2 linked regions of the Mus musculus genome follow. The protein of the gene in region 1 purifies or fractionates together with the protein of each later gene. This does not show direct contact. Links are inferred from orthologs where the notes say so. Each region holds a gene or a part of one and is shown in the gene's direction. Other genes may lie near its edges.

The links. Proteins that work in one complex are often made in the same cells at the same time.
Region 2: the proteins of Eif2ak2 (region 1) and Zfp346 purify together in Homo sapiens (affinity purification with mass spectrometry; 3 studies listed by BioGRID and IntAct, with this or other methods). This does not show direct contact. The link is inferred for Mus musculus from reciprocal best matches to the Homo sapiens genes EIF2AK2 and ZNF346.

Annotation. Positions count from the first base shown.
Region 1 is NC_000083.6:78,850,932-78,855,974, reverse strand, and holds the end of Eif2ak2 (interferon-induced, double-stranded RNA-activated protein kinase), read left to right. Parts: intron 1-575; coding exon 576-632; intron 633-713; coding exon 714-836; 3' UTR 837-3,425; downstream 3,426-5,043.
Region 2 is NC_000079.6:55,114,246-55,119,526, forward strand, and holds part of Zfp346 (zinc finger protein 346), read left to right. Parts: intron 1-1,234; coding exon 1,235-1,379; intron 1,380-5,281.

The DNA of each region.
Region 1 (5,043 bases):
CATGTGCTCTGGTATGCTCATGGCAGTCAGAAGACAACTAACCCGAGCTAGCTCACTCTAATGGTTTGAAATAAAAAGCATGCAACCTTGCATAGAGATAAGAATGTGCAGTGAGTGCTGGGGCTGACAGGTTGGGTATGGTTTTATCTGAAGCTGGTGACTGGTGGGGCTGGAAAGGGTGTGGGCTTTGTCGTGTGGGTGGTGGGGAATCACTGGAGACAGCAGGCTATTGGGCATCCTAGTTGGAAGCTCAGGAAAAAAAGGCTTGCCTGGAGTGCAGAGCCTTATCTTCCCTAAAATAGGCGTGATGGCGGGATGTACTGCCTAGCATTCCAAACAGAGGGAAATGATGAGTCTTGTGCACCAATCTATCTCGTCAAAGCATTGAATGTTAAGGATGGTCATACGATTGGGGTAGGCTTGGGGAGGGCGTTTTGCTTGCTTCTTAGACTAGAGAGTCCACCCTACATTTTAGAAATCTTCTAGATTTAGTGTGTCTCCAGGTATTATTGTGTTTAGTTTTTCTTCCCATGTCAATCACTGCCTAGTAAATACATCTATTTGTGGTATTTCAGTTTTTCGAAAGTCTAAGAAAAGGCGACTTCTCTAATGATATATTCGACAACAAAGAAGTAAGTCCTTGAAAGCTATCAGGTTGATTTTTTTTTCCACTATTTTCTTTCCCAATACTGACTCTTACCTATCATTAACAGAAAAGCCTTCTAAAAAAACTACTCTCAGAGAAACCCAAGGACCGACCTGAGACATCTGAAATCCTGAAGACCTTGGCTGAATGGAGGAACATCTCAGAGAAAAAGAAAAGAAACACATGTTAGGGCCTTTCTGAGAAAACATTCCTCTGCCGTGGTTTTCCTTTAACGATCTGCAGTCTGAGGGGAGTATCAGTGAATATTATCCTTCTTTTCTTAATACCACTCTCCCAGACAGGTTTTGGTTAGGGTGACCCACAGACATTGTATTTATTAGGCTATGAAAAAGTATGCCCATTTCCTCAATTGTTAATTGCTGGGCCTGTGGCTGGCTAGCTAGCCAAATATGTAAATGCTTGTTTCTCGTCTGCCCAAAGAGAAAGGCAGGCTCCTGTGTGGGAAGTCACAGAGCCCCCAAAGCCAACTGGATGAGGAAGGACTCTGGCTTTTGGCATAAAAAAGAGCTGGTAGTCAGAGCTGGGGCAGAAGGTCCTGCAGACAGACAGACAGACAGACAGACAGACAGACAGACAGACAGAGACACAAAGACATGGACTAGAATGGAGGAGGGAGGGAGGAAGGGAGGGAGGGAGAGAGAGAGAGAGAAAGAAAGAGAGAGAGACCACATGGAGAGACAAAATGGCTTAAGTTAGCTGGGCTACCTGAGAGACTGTCCCAGAAAACAGGCCAACAACCTTCCTTATGCTATATAGATGTCTCAGTGTCTTTATCATTAAACACCAAGCAGGACTGCTAAAAACTCTGCAATAGGGTTTTTTTTTTCCTGTTACTTCAAAAGCAATCTTACAAAGTTATTTTTTTGACAATTCCATACATGCATTGTGTTCTGATCCCACTCTGAACCCTCTGCCATTCATGCCTTGTCTGTCATGTGAACTGTTGCCTCTGAATGTGGGGGTCCAAATTAACCCTCTGCCCTTGAGTGGCTTCTCTCAGGTAGTGATTGTGATGAGAAAAGTAATGAGATGCTGGCAAAGATGTGCAGAAAGAAGAACACTTCTCCACTGCTGGTAGGATTGCAAGCTGGTACAACCACCCTGGAAATCAGACTGGAGGTTCCTCAGAAACACAGTACTACCTGAGGACCCAACAATACCACTACTGGTCATATACCCAGAAGATGGTCCAACATGTAATATGGACACATGCGCCACTATGTTCATAGTAGCCTTATTTATAATAGCCAGGAGCTGGAAAGAACCCAGATGTCCCTCAGCAGAGGAATGGATACAGAAAATGTGGCACATTTACACAATGGAGTACTACTCAGCTATTAAAAATGAATTCATGAAATTCTTAGACAAATGGATGGATCTGGAGGATATCATCTTGAGTGAGGTAACCCAATCGCAAAAGAACACACATGATATGCACTCACTGATAAGTGGATATTAGCCCAAAAGCTCCAAATAACCAAGATACAATTCACAGACTACATGAAGCTCAAGAAGAAGGAAGACCAAAGTGTGGGTGCTTTGGTCCCTCTTAGAAGGGGAACAAAGTACTCACAGGAGCAAATATGGAGATAGAGTGTAGAGCAGAGACTGAAGGAAAGGCCATCCAGAGACTGTCCCATATACAGAGACTGGGAATTCATCCCATACACAGTTACCAAACCCAGACACTATTGTGGATGCCAAGACATTCATGCTGACAGGAGCCTGATATGGCTGTCTCCTGAGAGGTCCTGCCAGAGCCTTACAATACAGAGACTGATGCTCACAGCCAACCACTGGACTGAGTGTGGGGTCCCCAATAGAGGAGTTAGAGAAAGGACTGAAGGAGTTGAAGGGGTTTGCAACCCCATAAGAACAACAATATCAACCAAGCAGACCCCCCAGAGCTCCCAGTGACTAAGCCATCAACCAAGGAGTACACATGGCTCCAGCTGCATATGTAGCAGAGGATGGCCTTGTCATGTATCAAAAGGAGGAGAGGTCCTTGGTCCTATGAAGGTGCGATAGATGCCCCAGTATAGGGGAATCAAGGGCAGATAGGTGGGTTGGAGGAACACCCTCATAGAAGCAGGGGGAGTAAGGAAGGATATGGGGATTTCTGGGAGGGGTGGAAACTAGGAAAGGGGGTAACATTTGAAATGTAAATAAAGAAAATATCCAATTAAAAAAAAAAGAAAAAGAAAAAAGAAAAGAATAGTAATAAAATGGTACAGGAAGTAGAGTTATATTGCAATAAACCTACTGTTGGGCTTTCAGGACTGGTTTGTGGGAGGAATGTGAAAAAGTTTGAAGCCCCAGGTTAGAGAAGTCCTCAAATGGTATACGTCAAACTTACTGTGGTAGCTCAAAAGTCTCCTGAGAGGCCCTGCTTGGAGTTAGCCTTGTAGAGGTCCAGTCTTTCCTTGTTGTTCTTTCAGACTTGCTTTGTAGAATATTGGTAGTTACTTTGTGCCTTTGTATGCTGTAATAGTTGTTTTATAGGGCCTCACAGCTAAGAGTTTCTCGCTGCTTCTCAAAGCACTTTGGACCTTTGCATGGAGTTGAGTATTAAGATTATGGGAATTTCTGAGGTGGGACTGAAAGCATTTTGCATTATGAGATGGCCATGAGCCAACAGAGACTTGGACACACTCCTCCACTGTCAACCGAGGCTTCTGCCAAATCTTCCCTGTCATGAAGGATTGTATCATCTGAAATTGAGTCTAAATAGATAAATAAATAAGTAAATAAATCTCTCCTCTCTTAAGTTGCATCTGTTGGGCTTTTAGTGACAAGAAAAGTAGCTAACATACTGTTTACAGAAGTCATGTCAACAAGAAGCACCCATAATGCCTTCAAAGGGAGAATGAATTTGAAATGCTATTTACTTATTGGAGAATGAACTGAAGCTAGATGTAGTAACAGTATATTAACAGCATGTTAAGAGAAAAATATTTTTTAAATGTTTATGGAAGGAAACCATTCACAAGTTGATAGAACATTCCAGAGCATACAAAACAAAATCATTTTTAAAGATCCCCTCCCCGATTTTTGGAATCTCAGTAAGTAGGACAAGCTTTTACGCAAGGGGTTTGCCATCAGAACGCAGGTGTTGGGAAAGCCACCGCTAATTTAAAGCAAAAATGGGGAAGGAAAAGACTCACATCAACATCGTCTCCGGCAAGTCCACCACAACCGGCCACCTGATCTACAAATGTGATGGAATCGACAAGCGAACAATCGAAAAGTTTGAGAAGGAGGCTGCTGAGATGGGAAAGGGCTCCTTCAAGTACGCCTGGGTCTTAGACAAACTGAAAGCTGAGCGTGAGTGTGGTATCACTATTGACATCTATCTCCCTGTGGAAATTCGAGACCAGCGAATACTACGTGACCATCATTGATGCCCCAGGACACAGAGACTTCATCAAAAACATGACTACAGGCACATCCCAGGCTGACTGTGCTGTCCCGATTGTTGCTGCTGGTGTTGGTGAATTTGAAGCTGGTATCTCCAAGAATGGGCAGACCCACGAGCATGCTCTTCTGGCTTACACCCTGGGTGTGAAACAGCTGATTGTTGGTGTCAACAAAATGGATTCTACCGAGCCACCATACAGTCAGAAGAGATGTGAGGAGATCGTTAAGGAAGTCAGCACCTGCATTAAGAAAATTGGCTACAACCCTGACCCAGTAGCATTTGTGCCAATTTCTGGTTTGGAATGGTGACAACATGCTGGAGCCAAGTGCTAATATGCCTTGGTTCAAGGGATGGAAAGTCACCTGCAAAGATGGCAGTGCCAGTGGCACCACTCTGCTGGAAGCTTTGGATTGTATCCTACCACCAACTTGTCCAACTGACAAGCCTCTGCGACTGCCCCTCCAGGATGTCTATAAAATTGGAGGCATTGGCACTGTCCCTGTGGGCCGAGTGGAGACTGGTGTTCTCAAACCTGGCATGGTGGTTACCTTTGCTCCAGTCAATGTAACAACTGAAATCAAGTCTGTTGAAATGCACCATGAAGCATTGAGTGAAGCTCTTCCTGGGGACAATGTGGGCTTCAATGTAAAGAACGTGTCGGTCAAAGATGTTAGAGAGGCATTGTTGCTGGTGACAGCAAAAACGACCCACCAATGGAAGCAGCTGGCTTCACTGCTCAGGTGATTATCCTGAACCATCCAGGCCAAATCAGTACTGGCTATGCTCCTGTTCTGGATTGTCACACAGCCCACAAAGCATGCAAGTTTTTCTGAGCTTAAAGAAAAGATCGATCGTCGTTCTGGTAAGAAGCTGGAAGATGGCCCCAAATTCCTGAAGTCCGGTGACGCTGCCATTGTTGATTTGGTCCCTGGCAAGCCCATGTGTGTTGAGAGCTTCT
Region 2 (5,281 bases), on another chromosome or scaffold:
ACAGAGTAAAGGGACACTGCTGTTCTTGAACTGTGGAGAAAAACGAAGTTCAGCATTTACTTGACAAATGAGGACAATAAATGCCTTCTCTGACACAACGCAGTACACTTACTTTATCTTAGAGTTGCTGTAAGAATTACAGAGAAGCCAGCCCCAGTTCCTAAGTGTGCTGTGCCTTTCAGAGTGTGGGCATTCTGCACAACATGGTGAGAAAGTCGGTGGGCAAGGCTCCTTAACGTATTAGATAGGAAACCTTGAGCAAGTCACCTTATCTCTCGGGAAGTCACTCATAGCTTGCTCATGTTGTGAGGTAAAACTTCAGTACCCAGGAAATGGTCAGTAACTACGAGATTGCTCTCCAGACTGCTGGTTCCTGTTACAGTGGCCAGTGGTTTAAAGGGGCCTTGCGTGCCCCTTTCAGAAATCACCTCCTGTTTGCCCTTATGGTTTAGATCCACAGGGGCACGGTCATTTCACCTTTCTGCTTCAGTTAGATGACTGAGTAGCTAAGGTGAGATCACAGCACCCACCACCAGCTAGGAATCGCCAAGCCCAAACCATCTGCAGTGTGAAGGCAGAAAAATGTTGAAGAGACACCTTGTTCAGCGGACATTCTTTTGAAATACACTTTCTAGCATAACTATAGTAACAAGTAGAACACACTGACGTGTTTTTTCTAAGAGCCTTGGGTATCTACTGTGTGCTAGACACAGCAGGGTACAAGGGTAGGAAACAATGAGTCAAGTTATCCACGTCCAGCATTGCACTTAAGCTCACATAAAAGGCTCCTCAGCTGTAATGCTGTCCGTCAGGTGACAAAGGCTGTAATAGTAGTCTGATACACTCTGGGAACACAGGTGAGGAACAACCTTAACTCTTCCTGGATAAGCACAGCACAGGCCTTGGTAATTGTGTACCAATGTTTTTAAGGTAAAAGTCACTGAATGGCTGATAGCAGACCTAATTAATGCCAGGCAGGAATAAGGAGGAACATTCTAGAGAGTAGGAATAACCCAAGAAAATTGAGGAAGTGACAGAATAAAATGGGAAATTATGCATGGAGCCTGACGTGAAATAGCTGGAGAAGACTCTGTAAAGGTATGTTTCAGTTATGTTGTGGGTAACATGTGAAGGTGGTCTTAAATGTCCACCAGCCAATGGGCAGTGGGGAACCATTGGAGGTTTTCTGGATGGGCACTGGCATGATCAGACCTGTGTTCTCTCTCCCAACCAGAAGAGCAGCAGAAGCAAAGACAAGAACCACTGCTGCCCCATCTGTAACATGACCTTTTCCTCCCCTGCTGTGGCACAGTCGCACTACCTGGGGAAGACCCACGCAAAGAGCCTAAAGCTGAAGCAGCAGTCCACTAAGGGGGCAGGTACTGCGCTTCCTGAGTAGTGCTTGGGGACCCCCTCCCATTCTCAGGGCACCATTGCCAGCAGTCTACTAAGGGGGCAGGTACTGCGCTTCCTGAGTAGTGCTTGGGGCCCTCCCATCCTCAGGGCACCATTGCCAGGTGCTTCCAGAATGCTCACTGGAGCCTCGGAATGCAGACTGGGACTCAGTTTTCAGGCTTTTGAGAGTTCTGAAATATCCAAGTATGAGTTGGAGATATAAGTCAGTTGGTGGAGTACTTCCCTAGTGTGCACAGAGAATACTTCCCTAGCTTTCATCCCCAGCCTTGCATAAGCCAGATGTGGTGCACACTTTCAGTCTCAGCACTCACACCATGGAGGCAGCTACCATATGGAGTTTGAGCAACCTGGGTTATGTGAGAGCCTGTCTAAAATACATACATACCATAATAGACCCTGCTTTACTGAGATTGGGCCTCAGATGTGGTTCACTTTACTTCCTTTTGTGTGATTCTATCAGATGTTATATAGAAGCTTCTTAGCCTATAATTACTGTCCTGAGCAGTAATTGTAACTCAGGAGGGCCAAGGGCCTGCTGCATACTGTGAGCATTCTGCTGCCTGCCTCCCTCTACTTATTCTGTCCCACCACCCACCTGTTCTTACTGCTAAGAGTTGCCAGTTGATAGCTAAATCATCCTCACAGACTCAGGTTATGCCCTGCTCACTTTGACCTGCAAAGGCTGCCTGTTCTAAATGCAGGCTTGCCTTCAAAGCAGGCTACTCTAGCAAGCTGTTTGCAGCTGCTGTGAATCCACTCCCCAGCACTGACTTCACATTCAGCCTTCTTTGTTCTCTCGTCGTTGGTACAGCCGTCACTTTCATCCTGTTAACCCTGAATCCTGAGGTTTTTAACCTAGGCTAACTGCAGTTAGTCATGAGTGGGAGGCCACTGGTGTGCATGCATGTGTGTGTGTGTGTGTGTGTGTGTGTGTGTGTGTGTGTGTGTGTGTGTGTTCGTGTGTGTATTATTCTCCAGTTTGGACCAAGACCACGCTAGTAATAGAACTTTTGATCCTTTTGTTTTATTTCATCACTGAAGCAAGACAACAGTGTCTTAGAAGGTTTTGGAGATATGATGGAAAAGTCTACTCATAGTTATACCCAAACGTAGTTATTCATGGTCTGAAACAGTAGAATATAGATTGAGTCAGAGCAGCACAGACTTAAGTCAGGCGCTTTTCTTTACCATTTGTGTCTGTACCCTCTGCACCTGTAAAGTGTCAGTGCCACCTGCTTTGGAGCTTGTGAAGATCATTACGGCTGCCCTGGTACACATCGCCATTCCCAGCATGGGAAAGAGGAGGCAGGAAGGTCAGGAGTTCAGTGCCACTTTGGCTGCCAGCTTTGAGACCAGCCTGGCCTATATGACACCCAAAAAGATAAGAGGCAAACACCCCTCACTCAAAAAATGCCTAGGGTACAGCAGATAGTCACTGAACAGCTGTCATCACTGTTGTTACCATTAAAAAGCCAGTGCATGGAGCCTCTTGTAAAATGCAGTCATTAATCAGGAAGCCACCCTTGCAACCTTCCTAATGCTGCGGCCCTTTACCGCAGTTAATGTATTAAACAGGCCCTCGAGTTGTAGTGACCGCAGCTATGAAATTAGTTCCGTTCATAACTGTAATTTGGCTACTGTTATGAATGATAATGTGAATATCTGTGTTTTCCGATGCACTTAGATGACCCTTGTGAAAGGGGCATTCAGTCCCAAAGGGGTCATGACCCACAAATTGAGAACCCCTGATCTAGAGCCTGCCATAGACCTTGATCATGGTTGACCTGTTGACTATGGTGAGTATTGATTGATTTTTGTCTACGCTGAGAACCTGTAAACAGCACATGACATGTGAGCATTAGGCCAAGGAAAATGATCTTAGCTGAGTTTCTAATGCCACAGACTTACCTTCCCATGGTGGGAAAATTTGGTGGAATATGACTTCTCCTAATACTTCTGTTCTAAACAGTAACTTATCTTCCATATTCACGTCCAGCCATTGCCACATGTAACTTTGTGTTGCAATTAGTGCATCAACCATGTGTATTCTGCTATCACTTTTCATTTAGCCTCATAGTTTAAAGATACATCCATATTGTTCATGGGTTTACTATAACTCCAATCCTGAAACTGAGCATTTGTGTGCTATGCAAGTGAGACAAACATGCTGTAGAAAATACAGAGAAAGTGCCAGGAATTCCCATAACTTTGCCATTGCAGACTAGGTGATGTTAACCTAGAGTCCTGGGTTCTTACAGCCGTGTGCACCACGTGTGTTTGTGTACCTGCTTGTATTATGTTTGTTTGTTTTCTGTTCATCCAAGTTGACTCCATATAGAATATATAATTTCTGTTTCTGTAAAAACTATGCACATATGTGAATAATTCCAATTCAACATGCAAAACATTCAAAGAAGCAGACAATATTCCACCCAAGTCTTACTTCTAGGGAGAGCATTGTCAGCAGTGGCTCCTGCTTATAGGCATCCTGGCTACAAGCAAGTTCAAGACCAACCATATGTTACACGACATACTGTCATGCATACGTGTACATATGCGTGAAGTGTATATATGTATGTATAGGTGATATTTTTAAATGCTAGTATACTTATATAGGTTATACAAAAACCTTTTAATACTGATATGACTATATTATTATAATATATTAAACCTTCTTATATATTTCTTCATTTAATATAACATTTCCTCATGTTGGGGCTAGAGAAATGGCTCAGCAGTTAGAAATGTGTTCTATTCTTGCAGAGGTCCCAAGTTCAGTTCCCAGCACCAGTGTGGGGCAACTCATAACCCTGGTAACTACAGCTCTAGAGCAGTCCATCACTCTGGCTTCCAGGGCACTGCTCCACATGTGCACGTATCCATACAGGCACAAAGGTCAGAGACAATCTTTGATAGCACACTTTGTGTATCTCAAGTATTTCTTAAGAGAACGCTCTAGCTCTCGCTGGCCCTGGGTGTCTGTTAACAGCTGCTCTGGCTTACAGCTCACTGCGTTCCTCCCCTCCAATGCGGTCTTTCCTTAAACAATAGTATTTATTTTTTATGTATATGGATGTTTTGTCTGCTTGTATGTCACTATGTATGTGCACTGCCCACAGAGGACACCAAATCTCTAGGACTGAGTGAAGTTGCAGGTGGTTGTGAAGCCACCATATTGGTGCTAGGAATTGAACCCAAGTCCTTTGGAAGATCAGTCAGTGCTACTAAGCACTGAGCCATCTCTTCAGCCTCACCCTCTAGAATGTTTTAAAGAACAACCTTGGGCCCACAAGATGACTCAGTAAATCACAGTGTTTGCCACACAACCCTGGGGGCCTGCGTCTGACTCTCTGAACCCATGTTGAGGGGTGAGGAGAGAACTGGATCACAAAGTTGTCCTCTAACTTCCACACATGTACTCTGGCATGCACACTATGTGCACACACCTATGACTGCACAAACACACACACACACGTTCAATAATAATAATAGGTTAAAAATGTTTTAAAGTGGGGACTGGAGAGACAGCTCAATGGTTAAAAACACTGGCTCCTGGTTCAATTCCCAGCACCCACTTGTGTAACTCTAGCCCCAAGGTATCTGATGCCTTCTTCTGGCCTCTGTGGGCACTAATATACATTCAGGTAGACATACACATAATAAATAGATGAATAAAATTTTCAAAATAATCTAAAAAGAGTAAAAAAAAACAAAACAAACAAAAAGCCAGGCAGTGGTGGCATACACCTTGAATTCTAGCACTCATGGTCTAGAGTTCAAGGCCAGCTTGGCCTATAGAGTAAGTTCCAGAATAGCCAGAGCTACACAGAGAAACCCTGTCTCAAATAAATAAATAGATAAGTAA